Sus scrofa: one gene and its partners. The protein of the gene in region 2 interacts with the protein of the main gene of each other region in a biochemical or structural test. Links are inferred from orthologs where the notes say so. Each region holds a gene or a part of one and is shown on either strand. Other genes may lie near its edges.

The links.
Region 1: the proteins of MXD1 (region 2) and SIN3A form a complex in vitro, tested with the Homo sapiens proteins (4 studies listed by BioGRID, with this or other methods). The link is inferred for Sus scrofa from reciprocal best matches to the Homo sapiens genes MXD1 and SIN3A.
Region 3: the proteins of MXD1 (region 2) and MAX form a complex in vitro, tested with the Homo sapiens proteins (4 studies listed by BioGRID, with this or other methods). The link is inferred for Sus scrofa from reciprocal best matches to the Homo sapiens genes MXD1 and MAX.

The regions. Positions count from the first base shown.
Region 1 is NC_010449.5:58,169,839-58,175,960, forward strand, and holds the start of SIN3A (paired amphipathic helix protein Sin3a), read left to right. Parts: upstream 1-1,982; 5' UTR 1,983-2,251; intron 2,252-2,539; exon of another isoform or gene 2,540-2,563; intron 2,564-6,028; exon of another isoform or gene 6,029-6,051; intron 6,052-6,122. UniProt on the Homo sapiens protein: Acts as a transcriptional repressor. Corepressor for REST. Interacts with MXI1 to repress MYC responsive genes and antagonize MYC oncogenic activities. Also interacts with MXD1-MAX heterodimers to repress transcription by tethering SIN3A to DNA.
Region 2 is NC_010445.4:72,523,895-72,529,490, reverse strand, and holds part of MXD1 (max dimerization protein 1), read left to right. Parts: intron 1-4,215; coding exon 4,216-4,330; exon of another isoform or gene 4,331-5,370; intron 5,371-5,596. UniProt on the Homo sapiens protein: Component of a transcriptional repressor complex together with MAX. In complex with MAX binds to the core DNA sequence 5'-CAC[GA]TG-3'. Antagonizes MYC transcriptional activity by competing with MYC for MAX binding.
Region 3 is NC_010449.5:89,164,126-89,170,280, reverse strand, and holds the start of MAX (protein max), read left to right. Parts: upstream 1-2,015; 5' UTR 2,016-2,327; coding exon 2,328-2,363; intron 2,364-2,533; exon of another isoform or gene 2,534-2,682; intron 2,683-3,107; coding exon 3,108-3,134; intron 3,135-6,155. UniProt on the Homo sapiens protein: Transcription regulator. Forms a sequence-specific DNA-binding protein complex with MYC or MAD which recognizes the core sequence 5'-CAC[GA]TG-3'. The MYC:MAX complex is a transcriptional activator, whereas the MAD:MAX complex is a repressor.

The DNA.
Region 1 (6,122 bases), on a different chromosome or scaffold from region 2:
ATAATGAACCTCAACCTCCATGGCCCTGCCAGGTGTTGGGCCTTCCACTGAATAATTTTCGCCTCCTGGACTTTCTCCCTCTACACTCTCCCTTAGTGATTCCATCAACCAAGCTACCACCCAAATTCTAGTCCTCTGAGATGACTCACTTCCCTCCCCAAATCAGTATTTCTACCCACCTGCCCTTTCTCCTTAGTGGCAAGCCTCCCTCCCCATTAGACCCCCATCCTATGGACTCTGAGTGAAGTAAGTGTCCTTAGAGCCTGTCTTTCTACAGGCACCTGAGGCTCTATTTCACAGGGAGGAAGGGACTTGTCTAAAGGTATTCTACCAAGTCATTAGTGGTGATCAATCTAGAACCCAGATTACTGAACCATTAGCCTCAAGGTCTTCTACCTTTTCACGCACCAGGTCACTGCCACTGACTCTTCCTTTCCCTCCATTACCCACACTGAATCGGTCACCCAGTAGTCTTCAGTCTTTCTCAACCACATCTCTCTGGTTTTATTTTTACTAAAAAAATTTCTTTTCGGCTACAGCCATGCATGTGGAAGTTCCTGGGCCAGGGACTGACTCCTATACTGCGGCCGCAGCAATGCTGGATCCTTTAACCCACTGTACTTACAGGGGATTGAACCAGTGTCTCCACAGCACCCAAGCCACTGCAGTTCTCCATTTGTATTCTTGCTTACCCATAGCCACAGCCCTGGTCAAGTCCTCGTTACATCTCACCTGAATTGTTGGGATAGCCTAACTGGCAGCAGACTCCCATTCTGCTCACAGGACTTTAAGGCCCTTCACTTTCTGCACATTCTACATCATTCACATGAATTACCTGGATCCATCAATCAATAAGTCTTTCTTCCTCACCCACTGTGTACCCTGGCCCCAGGCTTGGTGATATGTGGGGTAGCCTCTGTCCCTGCTACCCCTGCCAAAACTCTTTTGGTGTAAAGTTATGACAAAAACACTACAAATGATTCACAGAGGCATGTGAGGCAGAGTTTTGATGTGAGGACTGCTGATAGGGAAGGGTTTCTGGATTGGGGGCTTGGAGAGAGATGAAACCTCTTGGCTCTCTCCACCCACCCCTCCCACCAGAATATGTAACTCTGTAATCTCCAAACCCATTATTACAACAGCCTTTCTGCTTCACTTTCCTGCCTGCAGGCACGCTTCATTCAACCTACCCTCAGAATCCATCCAGCTGCTGGGATGTTGAGCATCTTAAACCATAGTTTTGGGCCCGTGATTTTGTGACCAGTCATGTTGCTTGCACATTCTGCTGTGCAAGCCTGAGAATTTTAACAAGGTAGTATAGTGTTCTGTTCTCTGACTCCATCTTTCCAAACCTGATTTTCATGACTACAGCCACACTTTTAGTGTTTCTTAATATTTTGCATTCACCTCTATGTGTCCTTTGCTGAAAATGACTTGCCCCTCCACTTCCGCCTGATGAAATCTTTAAGACCCAACTTGCGTGCCACCTCCTCCAGGAAGACTTTACCACTTTTCCTCAGAAAGAAGCTCCTTGCTCCGAGATTCTGTGGATGTCTATTTATATATACATTTCTGCATTGCCTTAGTTCTTTCTGTAGCATCTCCTCAGGTAGATAGATCTGGAGTCCTTGGATAGTGCAGAGTGAGCATCTCATTCAGTCTCTGTAATCGCACCCAAGCAGCAGGTGCGGTATGACTCTGTCTGCCTCACCCCAGAAAGTGCTCAGGCAAGTGCCTGTTGCCCGGAACATACGACTTTCCAATTACACCGTTCATTTTTAGGCAGTCGCCTAACAGAAAATGGGCCGTCCACGGTTAGGTTACACAGCCAGGGGAGTCGGGACATTGCAGCCAGTCGCTAGGGTATCCCTACCCGCCTCCCTCTGCTCAGTTCCAAATGGGGTGTGTGTGTGAAGGAAGTAGGGGCTGGGTAGCCCGGCTAGCTCCTCCTCCGTGTCCACCCAGAGGATCTCCGAGTCACAGTAGGTCTCCTTCCAGTCCAAAGGCCTCAAGAAATTCGAAGCGGCGGTACCTTCGATATAGGGTCCTCTGTCACAGATGCGGCTCACACTCACGGATACTTTAATCTATTTATTTGGATTTTTTTTTGGAGGGAGGGGGCGTTCAATGAAGGGGAAGAGGTGGAGCAAGGCGGGGAGGCGGGCCCAGGATGACTGACGAGAGCAGCGGGGAGCCAATGGCCCGTGGGGGGCGTTCCCCCCCATTCAGGACTCCTCGCCTGGCTCGGAAGGTATGTTAAACAGCTGCTTTTAATTTGGTCTCCCCAATCTTGGGCGTTTTGGGGGGCTAGTTCACCAGCCGGTCGCTTCGGCCAGTGCGCCCTGGTACCGGCGCAACGGGTCCTGGGACGGAGCTAGGGGAGCTTGGAGTCCGGCGGCCGAGGGAGGCGAGGGGCAGGCCAGGAAGGAGAGCTCTTGGCGCCGCCCGCTCGCCAGTGTGTTTCCAAGCCCGGCCGGATCCGTGGGGAGGGGGTCGGCCCGGCCTGGGGTCGCCAGTGTGCCGGCCGTGCTGCCTAGTTTATTTCACCGAGCGGCCGGTTTCGGTAGGTTTCGGCGGCGAACTGGGTAAGGTGCCAGCAGGAGGAGATCCTCCTCGCTCCTGGAATGCCTTAAAAAATTATTGTAAAGAAGAAAAAAGGGGAGATTCCGTACACCGACTGGAACCAGGCCTGGGCTGCGGCGCGCGGGCTCGGCAGGGGGCGGCGGCCTGAGCCCGGCTGGCCGGGCCCACTGAGTCCGCGGCGCCCGGAGTTGGTCGAGAGCTGGAGTTAGCAAGGGAGCCGGGGCCCGTGGCTTTCCCCGCTAACGACGCTGGGCGAAGGCGGCAGCCGCCCGAGGGTTTTGTTTCTGTCTGCAAACTTGTCCGAGGGGGCGGTGGGCGCGCTCAGGAGAGGCGCGGGTGCCTAGGGCCCGCGGTTGTTATGGACTCTGGGGGCGGGGGCAACGCCGGACTTGCGGGAGGGGCAGCCGGGGGAAGCCACCGGAAAGAGCCCCCGCACCTCGGCACTAGCCCCATGCGCCGGTCTGGGTTCTCCGAACTCCCGGGCCGTGGCAGTAGAGCCAGCATTCGGCGCCGGAACACGGCCCGGGGGTGTGGAAAACCTCCAGGAACTCGGCGGCTTCGACTCACGGCCCCAGCTGATCCCCTTGCAAACATGGAGCTGCCTCCTTCCCCGCCCACCCCAAGGCGGCGGCAGCTCCCTTCCCATCCCCCGGTCGTGCTCCTCGCTTGCGGATGGGGTGGAGGCGGGGACGCAGGCGTGTGAGCGCGCCCACGAGGGGGTGGCCTGAAAGGGGCAGTGAAGGTCGGAAACTGGGAAAACAGTCTCCACGCTCAGAATCGGGAAAAGGAAATGCATCAGCGTGCGGGGAGGGGCGCGGGGGGCGCGCCTGTCAGCCGGGATGGCGGCCGCGGGTTGGGAGGCGGGGCGCCGGCGCGAAACGCCGAAGTCGGGCGGGGCGACGCCGCGAGAGGGGGCGCAGGGGCCCGGGCCCACGGAACGCTAGGCTGCCCCTGCCTCCACTCCTTGGCCTACCCTGTTTACTATCTACTCCCGCGACGGCTTGTGCAACCGGCTGGGAGCGGAGCTGAGGGGCGGGGCCTTTCTCTCTCTCTCTTCCACCCATCTCGGGCTCCTCAAGAGGGCCCGCCTTCTCTTGTCTTCCACTGGCTGGGAGAGACTCCCTTTTTTCCTTCTCGGTTGTTGATTGGATGACATTCTCCCGAGCTCCGCCTATCGGAGGCCGGGCTGGAGTTTAAGTTGCTAGGATTTTTTTCCATGAAGGGCGGAGGGAGGATTCCTGCGGCTTACGTGAGGCGCAAGGTCCCGCCCCTACTCCTGATTGGTGGCATATATAGCCCCTCCTCCTCCGGCGGATCGAGCTAGGAGGGGGAAGTCCACCCTGTTCCCCGCCCCCTCCCTAGCGTGTGTGCGCGCTCAGCACATGTGTGAGGCCCGCCTTGCTCCTTCGAACTGTCCTCCCGCCCGGAAGTCCCGGGCTTGAAGCCCTAGGCAAGGGGGGCGGGGAGAGCCAAGAAGGCACACAATGATTCCTCCAAGCCTCGAGATCTGGTAGACTTTACGATGAAGTTAGTGTTTTACGGCGTAGAGTGAATTTGGGGGGCTTAGCTTCCGGGATTGTGCAGGATTTGGGAGGAGGGAGGGGGTCTGCCCTTCTCGGCCAAGTATTAAATTTCTGACACTGTGGCCTGGTTATTCCCGCGACTCTCGACTTCTAGGAGATCGTCCTAAGCTTAAGCTTCAGAATGCTGCGGACGCTGGCAGTGTTTTCTTCTCAGCGCAAAGCAGCTGCTGACCTTATTTGGCTTTATTAAAACTCTGAGCAACCTAGGATTGGCCTGGACACCTTAGGCAAGACCCCGCGCAGCTCACCCCCTCTTGACAGAGGAGTCGAGGGCGGCCCGATTCGGCTTGGGTTCCAAGTGGTTTTTGATGTCCATGTGGGAGCACCGTGTGCCACCCAGTCTAGGGAGCAGGGGACGGCGCAGAGTTAAATTAGCCCACGGCCAGTTCTGCATAAATGCTGCTTTCTCGTAATCTCTAGAGGTTTGGCATGGGGGTCTCCTCTGTTTCGTCGGTGTGACTTATTTTTTGAGTTCCTTCCTGGAGCAAGGCTTGGCTCTCGGCGAGACTGCCCCCAACTGTCGGCTATTCATGGAGTTCACAGTTCGCTGCTTGTCCTTGCGGCTTGGAGTCAGGCCCACCTGTTGCCCGCACTCATTTCTTGACGTCTCCGCTTGATTGCCGAGGGAAGACAAGCTAGGACTTAGGAGTGAATTACCTGGGGCCTGGCCCTTGCTTACCCACTGGGCTCTCTAGGGGGAGTAGCCCTTTTGCGGAAGAGAGCGGGAAAACTAGTCCCGCCCCCTCCTCTCCTAGCGCTCCAAGAGCGCCCTCCAAGCAAGGCCAGTGTCAGTTCGTCCTATTTACTGAATAAATAAAAGCAACCGAGATATCTCAGGCACTTTGTCTCTCTGTGTCAAGGCTGTATTACCTACACAGAGAGGGACTAGGGACTGTCATTAACACTCGCTCGCCAAGGAGGAGGAAATATAGCTGTTATTACTTTTGTCCCCAACTTTGGAATTTTTTATTTTTTCTCTGAAGTGTGGAGCGAAGTTTCATTTATGCCATGGTCTGTTTAGTCTCCTTTCTCAGTTCCTCCAGTTAGAGGATGCCTCCAGATCTGCTTTGGAGATCGCGAGTGTCTTACACTTCAAGCTCCGCCTTCCGGAGGCTTGCCAGGGCGTTGGTTCTTAGGGCCCTGCCCTTATTTTGGTTATCTCCGCCCTTTTAGGACTGCATATTCAGGTTTAGGGAGTGTCGGCTTTAGAACTATGCAGTCACCCCTAGCTGCGGGCTGAGCAACCCCTGGGGCTATTCCTTGGCATTGGTGTCTAACCTATAATTTTGTATTTTACTTACTGGAAGTAGCTGTCGGCTGCTTGGGATATTTGTGTTTGCAAGGAGGCAGCGTGCGGAAATGTAAACTGTAATGAGAAAGCTGGATAGGAAATATGAGGTTCTCTCTTTTTTTTCTTTTTTTGTAAGCGGGTCCTCCACGGTGGCGATGCTGCCGTCCCTCCCTTTCAAGTCCCAGGGCATCGGATTCCCGCTGCTGAGCTCCGCACCACCTCCTGTTTCGGGCCCTGGAACTCTCTGCTCTTCAGTCTCTAGTGTAAACATTCCACAAAAGGACTGCTAAGGTTCAGCCTCCTCGCGCAGGGCGGAGTCAGCTTCTTCCTAGACGGGCATCCTGGCCAATAAAGGATCCTACCGGCGCCAAGCTACCCAATCCGATGATTGGGGGCAGGGCCTGGCCAGGCGGTGCAGTAGGAGGAGCCCAGTCTCACGGACATTTTATCCCACATAGGTTACTTACCTTCCTGGGGCAGTCAGAGAGCGAGGGGTAGCCTTCCATTGCGATGACCGGCGAGGGCGGGAGCGGAGTTTTTGGGCCTGTAGCTGAGACGGCACGGGGCGGGACGCGTGGAGTCCTCCAATGAGAGGTGAAGAGCTTCCCTGCTTCCTCCAATAGTGTTGCGGCTTGGGGGTGGGATTCGGCAATTCGTCTCCAATA
Region 2 (5,596 bases):
TATTTCCATAGAAAATGGGTTAGACTTTCCATCAAATCTTTTAATGACAAAAGATGTCCATTTTCTTTAAGGAAGAGTTGAGTGAACTGAATCTTACCAGATAGCCTCTATTTTACCCAGTGAGATGCTCTGAGTTCCCTATTGATTTTGAAAGGAATATGATAGGGTTATAATTATCTGTGTTTGCTCCAGCATTATCCTTCCTCAAGGAAGCAAGGATGGAAAGAGTAACTGTTGCCATATACAGAGCTCTTCATGTCAGACCCCAGCCAGGCACTTCCACACCTGCCTCAGTTAATACTCACAACAGCCCTCACAGGGAGGCCTGTCATCCTCCCTCGACTGCCAAGGAAACCGATGCCACATGGAGTGAAGTAGCTTCTCAAGGCCACACAAAGAAGCAGCAGCAAGGCCAGCATCCCAAACCTTTACCTTTAATCACTGCACTAATACTTGGTTGTATAGTGACTGACAGGTTCAGAATAGAAAAATAATTTAAAATACTAAAAAAAGGAGTTCCTGTCGTGGCGCAGCGGAAACGAATCTGACTAGGAACCATGAGGTTGCGGGTTCCATCCCTGGCCTCCCTACATGGGTTAAGGATCTGGCATTGCCGTGAGCGCAGACGCGGCTCGGATCTGGCATTGCTGTGGCTGTGGTATAGGCCGGCAGCTACAGCTCTGATTAGACCCCTAGCCAGGGAACCTCCATATGCCACAGGTTGGGCCCTAAAAAATCAAAGAGACAAACAACAACAACAAAAACAAAACTTAAAAAAAAAAAAAAAACTTACTGAAGAGAAGCTCTAGTTTGTATCTAGTTTAGTTATCACTAGTTACAGGCCATGCTTGATTCAAAGCTTCACTGGCTGTAGCTCAGATCAAAGACTGGTGTCTCTCTGCTCCCGGAGACCGAAGGTATGTATCAACCCATTCAGGATGATGAGAGCGAGATTTCTGAAGAGTCAGCAGGTGAGTTTTACAAAGCAGCTGGATCAACACAGAAAGAGGCGCAGAAAGAGGCAGCAGTTGGGATGGGAGCGAGCTGGGGTTCAGGAGCTGGGAGGCAGCTTGGACAACAGGAGGAGGCCTCTCTGGAAATGTGACAGAGGAGATTCAAGCAGGGGTCAGAGGGAGGTAGTGAGTGGCTTCCTTTTGAGATGTGGCAAACCCCTGCTAGTTCCTGAAAGAGGGATTAGACCTGGATCACAATAGGACACTAGGCCCCTTCTAGAAGGCCAGCGCCCTGGGCAGGGCAATGGTCAGGACTGAGGACAGAGAGCTGACACAGAGAGCTGGTTCTCCTGGTTTTGGATCTGGTGTTCCATGGGTGCTCACGGCTGGCTGAAGGAGTCCAGGTCCCAGAGTGGTGTGTCTCAAGGTGGAGGACCCTCAGTGGGAGCTGTCACAGAGGAGCCCGTCTGCTTTTTTGTCTGGTTCAGGAATTGAATTTCACTACTATACGACAGAACGGAGCCTGCTTCCCATACCTCGCCCCTCCCCTGAGGTTGGCCCAGGCACCCACGGGGATGTGTCTGCAGGTGGTTGGCAGGTGGGCAGGGCAGCCATCAGGCTGGAGCAGGCCAAGGCAGGCACTGCCAGTTAAACAAGCTGGCTTTGGATCTCTGCAACAATCCAGAAAGTGCTCTGGTCCTATTTTCATAAAACTTGGCTAGGAAACACCAAATGAACATGTATTATCCTAAGCCTGAATTTGTCAAATAGCTAATTTCGAGTTTCATAACTCGGAGTGTTCTTTAGAAACCCACATTTGGGTAGTGAAAATTGTACTTTCTGGGCTAGACTCCCTGTGTAACTAGAAATGACAGTGCATGGAAAGATGACTCTATTATTTTTTATCAGTAGACAAACTTCCCTTAAAACTTTACATTCTCATATCTGTAGATAAACCCACATCATAAAAGGAATAATATGACGCTGTTCTGAATCATGTAGTCTTTGCAAATTATGAGCAGGCTGAAAAATGTCTAAATATAATTTTAATTTTTGAACTGTTTTAAAAATTTGACAATCTATGCTTTGTGGTGAAAATAAGTTGGATAACTGTGCAAGTGACTAATCATACTTTCTCACGGTGTTTCTAGTAACACGATCTGTTTTCATGGCTCTTTTTGAAGAATATTATCCTAGGTGAACGTGTATTTTATACACAGGTTCTGTTGTTTGTTTTTTTCTCATGCAGTAGTTGGAGGAACAAACGCCTCTAATGTGAGCTTTTGCTTGTGGCCATTCCACGTGGGCAGGTTTTCAGAGCAAGCGAGAGACTTACAGAATAGTAAGGTATTTGTACCACGACATTGTCCCAGCTCAGGAAGGAACGTTGGGCTCCTCGAGCTCGTCATGGCTTAGAGGGGCCTTGGAGAGTCTAGGACAACCTCAAGAGCCAGAACAGGAAGGAGGCCCAGAAGCAGAAGCGGCAGGGCACTCAGAACCACTTGTCAGATCTGCCTTGGGGGGAACATCCCGAAGTCTTGATATGAAGGGTGTGAAGTGACTGCCTTGGTCAGTATCAGGCACGGACCTGTATTAGAGCTTTCTCAAGTAGTTTTCTTTCGATCCCAAATTTTGCTAATATGGTAAAATTTTTTAAGAGGGAAAAAGGGCCAATGAAGCTTTTCGATTGCCTCCCAGTTCAGCTAGAGGGCAGCTTCCCAGGCTCCCAGGAGCTCTGCTCCAGGTTGCTGTGAGGGACAGTGGACATGTGTCTAAAAGCCCAGGACCCTGAGCACTGCTGCTCAGAGAAGCTGGAAGTCGAGTGAAAGACAGACAGCATTCATGCAGCCAATGTGTAGTGAGATACAGGAGAGGACGGTACCCAGGCAACCCGGCAGTGATTAAGTTGCAGCTCCAGCTTTCTGAGGAGCTGGCAATGAACAGTTAAATAATAAATACCAAAAAAAATCAGGTAAAACAGTGAATTTCCCAATGAATGGCATAAACAAATACATACTCAGAAAACGAAGGATTCGCTAGGGACTGGAATGGCTTTAAGGAGGTGATGCGCTGAAGCAAAAACTCTGAATCTTGGCTGTTTCTCACATTCATGGAATCTGCTGGGATCTAGGATAAAGCCTGAACCAAAGTTTCAGTGAAGTGTTAATTTCCAAAATTTTAGGGACTCTCATGCTTCTGGTCAGTCTGTGCTAAATGCTGTCTCCTTGGTGGGTCTCTGTGGCTTCTGCCTCACGTGGCCTTTCTCTCACCCTGTCCCATTGCGCTATTCTGCCACCTTCCAACCCTACGTGTGTGGTTCTCTCTAGCCGTCAGCAAGCTTGTTAGTAGAGCAATACCACTGGATGGGCTTCTTCCTTATTTTTAAAAAATACATTTCACTTTTTGAATGGTTGAAAAACTGAGAACTATAACAAATTATTTTTTAAAAATCCCCCCCTTTCCCTGTCCCTGTCCAGTTATCCTGACTCCTCTCTGCCCAACCACTATTACTCATTCCTTATGTATCATTCCAGACTTTATGTCGTACAAGAAAACATGAATATAGACAATTTTTTCATCCATTTTTACCCAAAGATAGCATGTTATATGCAATTTGATATCTTGCTTTTCTTCACCTAACAGTACATCTGAGTGTTCTTCTGAATAGTACATAGAGCACATTTTCATTCTTTTTTCATGGTTGCATAGTAGTCCAGTGTATGGATGTACCGTGGTTTATTTGCTTAATTCCCTATTGATGATCTGGGTTGTTTCAATCTTTACAAATAAAGTTACAATGATTTATGTAATGAATTATTGCAATTAATTTATTTTAAAGTTGTAATGAATAACCATACACATGGGTAAATATTAGATACAATGAAATATAGTTGTAGAGATTTTTTGGCCCTGAAAGGGGAAAGAGCAATATGAGTTCTAAGGATTCTCTTCAGTGATAATGTCATTACTTTCTGAATTTGGATGTTCTGTAGGTCTCATCATAACCTAGATACCTGGAGATAACCTGATACATGTGCTTAATAATAGTATTTATCTCTACTTAACTCTAGAAAACCCTGGGTTTTGCTTTTGATTTTTATCAGAATTGTCTAATTTCAAAAGATGCTCATTTGGCCAGAGGTCACTGGTGGCATTTGCATCACTGGGCCCAGGCCGCTTCATACTCTCTAGAGCTTGTTCTCCTGGGTACTTCTGGCCAGCTGTGAAAGTCTCAGATCCTACTGTGATCTTGTTTTTGTAGACGGGCCCACCTTCGCTTGTGCCTGGAAAAATTGAAGGGGCTGGTGCCACTTGGTCCAGAATCAAATCGACACACCACGTTGAGTTTATTAACAAAAGCCAAATTGCACATAAAGGTAAGAGCATCCTGGGATGGTGTCCTTCTGTCTTTACCTACCTGGTGAGGGCTTGTTTGTTGTTATGAGGGACGGATATGATTCGCCAGGACAGTTCTCTCCTCTCAATTCCTCCAGCCTGCCTCTTGGATGAACACAGACTCAACACGTCCAGAACCCAACTGAGTAGTTCTCACCCGGTGTGTGTTTCAGAAATGAAACTGTCCCTCCATCTGATGCATGAGCCAGAAATGCAGGGTCATCCTCGATCTTGATGATCATTGTGCTCCTTAGCCACGTGTGTCCACAACTCACCCATGTCACAGCTGCTCTATTTCCACAAACCCCGTCAGCTACTGCAGTAAACTCCTCAGAGGCCTCCTCCAAGCTAATCTCCATACTTCCCAAGAACAGTCTTGCCAGAGCTAAAATCTACATGTCACCGTGTTTTAAAATTCTTCCACAGCTCAGGACACATTGTATCACCAGGCCTGCCCGACCCAGCCTCCTTTGCCCTTGGGGCAGCAGCTTGTGCCAGACACTCCCCAGCCCTTCTTTCCACCCGTTGCCAGGCTCTCCCACCACAGGGCGTTTGTACATGCTGTGCCCTCTGCTTAGTATGCTCTCCCCTCCCTTCTTCACCTAGTGAGCTTCTTGTCATCCTTCAGACCTCGGCACGGGTATCCCCAGTGCAGGGAAACCTTCCCTGACTCAGTCACCTCCTTCCCGAGACAGATGGTCCTTATTATTGGATCTCTCTCTTAGCACATGTCACAAGTGACATCTGACCATGGTTTATGTGACTGTAGTTGTTTCCATCTGCTCTGTTAGAATATAGACCCCACAAGGAAGGAGACCAGATCTTTGTGTTCCCGTTGTGTCTCCACACCTCCCAGACGGTCTGAGACAGAGTCAGCACTCAGTATGTGGCTTAAACAGCAAATGGCAACTCCTGAGAGCCACAGCCAGCATCACTGTTGAGCATGTTTTTATAGTCATAGAGTCCGTGACTGGACAAATGTCACTTGAATCAGGGTTAGTAGCCGGCATACATGGCAGTTCTGGGGGGAAAAGAACGTCTGCTCAGAGCAAAACAAGCGCAGTTATACAGCCTTCGTAATAATCTAAAGAGTTATCCTAGAAGCTAGAGGACAGATTTGTAAAAACAAGTGATCTAGGAGTTCCCTGGTGGCTCAGCAGGTTAAGGATGCTGTGGCAGGTGTTCATCTCTGGCCCCAGAAATTCCACATGCCAAGGGAGCAGCCAAAAAAAAAAAAAAAAAAAGAA
Region 3 (6,155 bases), on a different chromosome or scaffold from region 2:
CTGGCCTCCCTCAGTGGGTTAAGGATCTGGTGTTGCCACAAGCTGCAGTGTAGGTTCTCAAATGCAGCTTGGACCCTGCCTTGCAGTGGCTGTGGCTTAAGGCCTCAGCTGTACCTCTGATTCGACCCCCAGCCTGGGAACTCCCAAATGCCACAGGTGCAGCCATAAAAAGAAGATGAAAATTTTTTAAAGGATTTGTAATGCCTCAGAGTGATTTTAACTTGTAGCCTGTGTTGCCTTATAGTGCCTTGCACATAACCGCCAATCAATAATTGTTGTAATCATGAATTAGCCCTAACTTCCAGCAGATTAGCTCATCCGAGAACTACCTTCTCTGTCTCCCTTATATATCCCAGCGGCTCTTACAATGGTCTGCTTATGTCTGTCTCCTCCACTTAGAGTGAAAGGAAGACTGAAACAAAAGCATTTAGAAAAGATAAGTTTACTTGCAAAGATGTGCAGACTTCAGTAGGACTGGATTACTGAATAAGGAACACAACAGATGTTAAAGGAAAAATGTAAAGATTACCATGTTTACATTTGCCTCTTCAGCTGGGGTAGTGTGCGCACATGGGGAGATATGTCACAAATGACATATTCCCAAATTTCTGTAATCAAAAGTCAGGGATAAAATGGTTTGCATTAGGGAATCAGTAACTGATGGAAAAGCTCAAGATATCATTCATTTTCGAAACCAGGTGTAAAGTGTGGTTCAGTTACTTTTTCTTAGTAGTAGTATTTTTCTTCCGGTGGTACTTGATGAACATACTCTTAAATTGGCAGCAGGGCAGTCTCGTTTTTGTTTCCACAACTGTGGGCTTCATGAAGATGGGTAACGTTCAGGTCTTATACATTATGGCATTCTTGTGCTGGCATATGTTAGGTGTTCAATAAATATTGGGGAAATAGCTATGATCATACCGCATGCAGCAGTTTTTGTTTTTTTGTTGTTGCTGGTTTTTTTTTTTTTTTTTTTTTGGTCTTTTTGCTATTTCTTGGGCCGCTCCCGCGGCATATGGAGGTTCCCAGGCTAGGGGTCGAATCAGAGCTGTAGCTGCCAGCCTAGCCAGAGCCACAGCAACGCGGGATCCGAGCCGCGTCTGCAACCTACACCACAGCCCACAGCAACGCCGGATCGTTAACCCACTGAGCAAGGCCAGGTATCGAACCTGCAACCTCATGGTTCCTAGTCGGATTCGTTAACCACTGCGCCACGACTAAAACTCCCGCATACAGCAGTTTTTAAGTGGGATTTTAAGTGGATAGAGAGCTGTTTCTCATTTGATATACTGATTATGCTACTCTGAACTGGGGCACTTCTTAAACTGCTTAGACTACAACCAATTCAGAAGGCGTTTTTATTTCCACGTAAGCAGTTGTTGAGGGTCAGGATCTGGGAATGTACAAGCCTCACTTGAGTAGCAAAATGGTCACTCCAGGGTGAATGAATACAAGAGTCTCGTGGGAATGGTCCCTCAGCTAGGCCGGTCATCCTGCCTGTCCAGTAACACTAACACCTGCCATTGACACCTCTTCGCTACCAGATCCCCAGGGTCCACGTGAGCATCCGCAGCCGCGCCCCCTAGTCCCCCGCAGCAGGATCCCACAGCAGACGGGTTACGCCCCAGAGCACAACACAGAGCGACTCAGAGGTCTAGAAAACAAAGTAAAACCAGTCGCATCAAGGAGAGACAGCGTTATTTCGGCAACCGGCTACTCGTCCACAGCCTCCACCCTGTCCCCTGGGCCAGGCGCCCAGACAGTGCCCGGCTCCAGGAGTCCCAGCTCCCTCCACGTGTCCTGTCTTCCCAGCAGCCACCTCTGCTGCCTCTGTAGGAAAATCTCCTGACAACTCGCGGTCTGCGGACTACGACTCCCGGCAGGCATCGCGCCGCTCCTCTCTCCACTCCCCCCTGCTCCACCGGACACGCAGGCGCTCTGGGCTCCGTCAACAAGTCGGGCTGGGAATGACTGGATGCAGTTCTTTATGGGATTTGTAGTTTCTCTGGAGCTAGCCGGGCCATCATTCAAAGGGATATGAACTACAAGTCTCGGCGGCCCCAGCGTGACGAGCTTGGTCACGTGGCAGGGGGCCGACCGGGCGTGCGTGCCGCCGTTGATCCGGTGCTGCAGTGAGGAGGTGGTTCTCGCCCGTGTTGTGTGTGTGTGTGTGTGTGTGTGAGTGTGTGTGTGAGTGAGAGAGCGAGTGAGTGAGTGTGTGTGTGTGTGTGGAGATTCGGCTTGTTGTTGTCGGTGACTTCCCCCTCCCCTCCACCCCTCCCCCTTCCCTGCCGCCGCTGCAGTGGCCGCTCCCTGGGCCGTAGGAAATGAGCGATAACGATGACATCGAGGTGGAGAGCGACGTGAGTCCTGGGGCTTCTTCCTTCCCTTGCGAGTTGTCAGGCGGGGACAGCGGCCGGGATTTTCAGCAGGGCGACTGCGGCAGGGGGCCGGGCAGCTGCCGCCTCTCCCCTTCCCCCACCCCCACCCCCCGGGCTGGGACCGCCTCCGTCGCGCTCCCCGCTCGCTCCCCTCCGGGCTCCTGGCCGGAGCGGCCTTCTGGGTCTGGAGGTGGGGAGGAGACACGCGGCCTCTGGGACCCCCACCTCCCCCCGTGGGGGAAGGTGCTGCCGTCTCCTACTCTCTCTCTGGCTGGCTCAGGATCCGGGACATAGGGACAGGGTGCGCTCGGGATCCCATTGTCCGGATTCTGGGGAAGGGGACGGCGTTCGGGACCTGCCCCTTAGGCCCACGGCCCCCTCCTCCCTTGACTGGCGGATCCTGGGGGGTGAGGGAGGGCAGAGAGGGTTTGGGAGTGCCCAGAAGTCCTGAGCTGGGTGCAAGGGGAGGAGACAGTGCTGTGGACCCCCTCTCGCCCGGTTCGGATCCCGGAAGGAGGGGTGGCGCTCGGACCCCCCCCCGCCCCCCTACCGGATCCAGCTGGGGAGGAGGGATGGGGGCGTGGGGTGGGAAGGGAGGGAGGGGGAGGTAAGGCTTACTCCCCACCCGCCGCTTCCTCTGCCGCCGGCATTTTCTTTCTTATTATTGAATGTGAAGTGTAAAAATAACTTCTATATTTTCTATTTTTTTTTTCTCTCTTATTCCAGGAAGAGCAACCGAGGTTTCAATCTGCGGTACGTCTCCTACTCTCCATTTCATTTTCATTTCCGTTCAGTTCTAGTCCTTTTTGGGGTTAGAGAGAAAAAGAGTTCTGTTGCTTTTAATATTGTAGTAAACTCTCCTGTTAACCGCTAAGGTGAGGTGGGGCCTTGTCCTGGGGTTGTAGGTGGTGGTGGGGGGCGGGTTTGTAAATCTCATAATTCTAGATTCTCAGGTGATAAGTTCCAGTGGCTGTAGGTGAGTGAGAGAAGCTGTATGCAGGGAAATGAATCTTTCTGTAGTGTTTAGATGAGAGTTCTAGCTGTCACTATTTAAATGGGGAATGAGAAATGCACCATGTTGAAGTAAATTGTACTCTTTCAGGAAGAAGTGGTCAGATTTATTTAAGAACAGTAGGTTCTAAACTATCTGAATAGTTGTGTGAAGTTGAAGCCACATGGAGAAATCACCTTTAACCAAAAGTCATGTGACTTCTGTAAACCTATGGAATCTAGCACAATTTGGTATTACTTTAATGCAGAAATTGGAACTGTAGAGGAGCCAAAGGTTGAATGTGACCGTGTCATATTCAGCAGCTTATTACGGTCTGACTGTATTTGAGTCGAAGGAGCAGTATAAAGAAGGTAGAATTGTTGAAGAAAAGTGGCATTGCAGAGTGAAGTTTGCTAGGAAGTGGTGGTTGAGACTGTAAAGTGTTATCAATGATTTCTCAGAGTTTTGATATTAATGTTTTCCATAAGTGGTTCTATGGATTAGGATAGACATAATCTCATGTCTTTGGAGTATGGGATAGTACTGTGGGTGTTCCATGAATAGATCAGAGGAGGAAAAAAATCAAAGGGGAAGAGAAATGAGTATATCATAGTGTCTAATATTTGACAGATGGGAACAGTAGGAAGTGTATAGAATGGGGGTCAAAAGTTTAGATGTCTCTAGGGAGCCCTGGCAGTGAGATAGTCAGGAATTGAGGGCACAGGTGAGGACTGGGGTACTAGAGAGCCCATGCCTCTCCTAAAAAGGTGGCCAGTCCAGTGGGATTGAGGACTCAGTATTGCCTTATCTTTCTATTTTAAAAGAAATTTTAGAAATCTGGATTATAATGTTCTTCTGATTTTCAAAATAACGTTTGGGACAACCAAGTTGTTCAGGAGCTTGTTAGAATTGCCACATTCTGCTTGGAGACCTCTGATCTAAGAATTTAATTCTCACAGAATAAAAGCAAGCCCTCTAACTTATACCTGCTATTCTTTAGAGCAGAGATTCTGAGGTTGTCTAAGCAGTTATCCATTTAGAAAAAATTATCGAGAGCCGTTATTTTCATAAAATCAAAGAATGCAGTTGTCCCAGGGGTCTTAAAATTATCCCTGGTAATAGTCACTAAAAAAGAATTTGTTTTATTTTTTCCTTGAAGGATTTGAAGGTAATATTTTGAATGTATGAAGTATTGTCAAATACTTCATATTTATACATATTTTGGAAAATTAAGGTCTTTTTCAGTTATTGCCTTCCTTATTAATGTGACTATGGAATTTCATGTTTGGAACCCAGTCTATTTGAAACATTTTTTTTTCCCTGAAAGTCTCCAGTTATAAAATCTGCCCTAGGGCTGGATGAGGATTGGAGGATAGGAATTATTTAGGCTTCCTTTGCAGAATCATTATTTAAATTGGAATTATATTAGCTTTCCAGTGAGACAAAAATTTTCTTTATGAAATTTTGGCTTACAGTTCTCAAGAGCTTTCTGCTTTTCAGAATATCCATCCATGTGGCTAATGATATAAATTGTTTTAGTAAATTATTAAAATGTTTCCACTTTCCTAGAACACTAATCTCATTGTTTTGTCTAGATATTTTCAGTTTTGATATTAAGGTACCTAGGATTTTTCCTTTTGATTTTGGAGGGTGGGCAAAGGGAGTGGGTTTTACCCTTTGTTTTTAATTTGACACATCTTGCTAAGACGTTTTAAATATCTGTTAAGATGATCACAACGACATGGAGAGAAGAAGCAGTAGACAGATTTTATAGCATATCAAGCAATTATGAACACGTAGGATAAAAAGGAGTTCTTTTTTTTTCTGTGTGAATATATGTTTATTTCCTGACATTTAGTATAAATAAATATATTCTTTAAAATTTGGGTGGCGGGGAGCTATTCTTAAGCATTGTGTTAGTTCGGAAAAGGATGAGGACTGTGAACAACCAAATATTCAGGACTACAGAAGAACTTTTTTAAAAGTTATTTGGCAAAGGTCCTTTGAGTCCTAATATAGAAGGAGACGCTCATTCATGTTTTGTAATATTACTACAACAGCTCCGGCCTTACTATATAAGACATGTAGGATACTCAGCAAGAAGAGAGTTAGGAAGCGAGGCTAACTGTAACAGAAAGTGAAACTGATTTGACGAGTATTTTTTCTTTTGCCTCAGTGCAAACAGAAAACAGCTTCTCTAGTGCCCAATAAGCTTCGTTAAAGGAAGTAACCCCAGACGATAATTTTTATTATTAAACTCAATACATCTCAGAGTCCCACTGATGTTATATTATTTTTGTTATTTTTTGGAGGAGGAAGATTGCATTTCAAAGACAATTTTCTGGTGCAGGGATATTTATGCAAAGTGATCTTTGTTTTATTTCTGGGTTTTTTTGGGTTTTGTTGTCATTTGGGGTTTTTTTTTTTTTTTTTTTTTGGAAAGAATGAAAGTATACAAGAAATGTAGGGTTAGTGTGGTAGTTGGAAACCCACGACCTTTTTCAGCTTCTCGTCCATGACAGCTCCATAGTTCTGGTTATAGTATACCTGTTGGGAGGGTTGGAAACAGATTTGTACAATTCCGTTTCTGGATCTTCCTGGTATGAAATATTTTAAACAGAACTCTTTGTTTCTTTAGGAATTGCCATGTATTCAGAAGGGAGTGAGTTTGGTTACCTTTGGAGGAATTTACTCAGGAAGCTACTATCTGTTTTACCTGGAATTAATTTAATGACAAAAGTGCTGCATGACACATATACTTTGTGTCTGCTCAGTGTTGACAG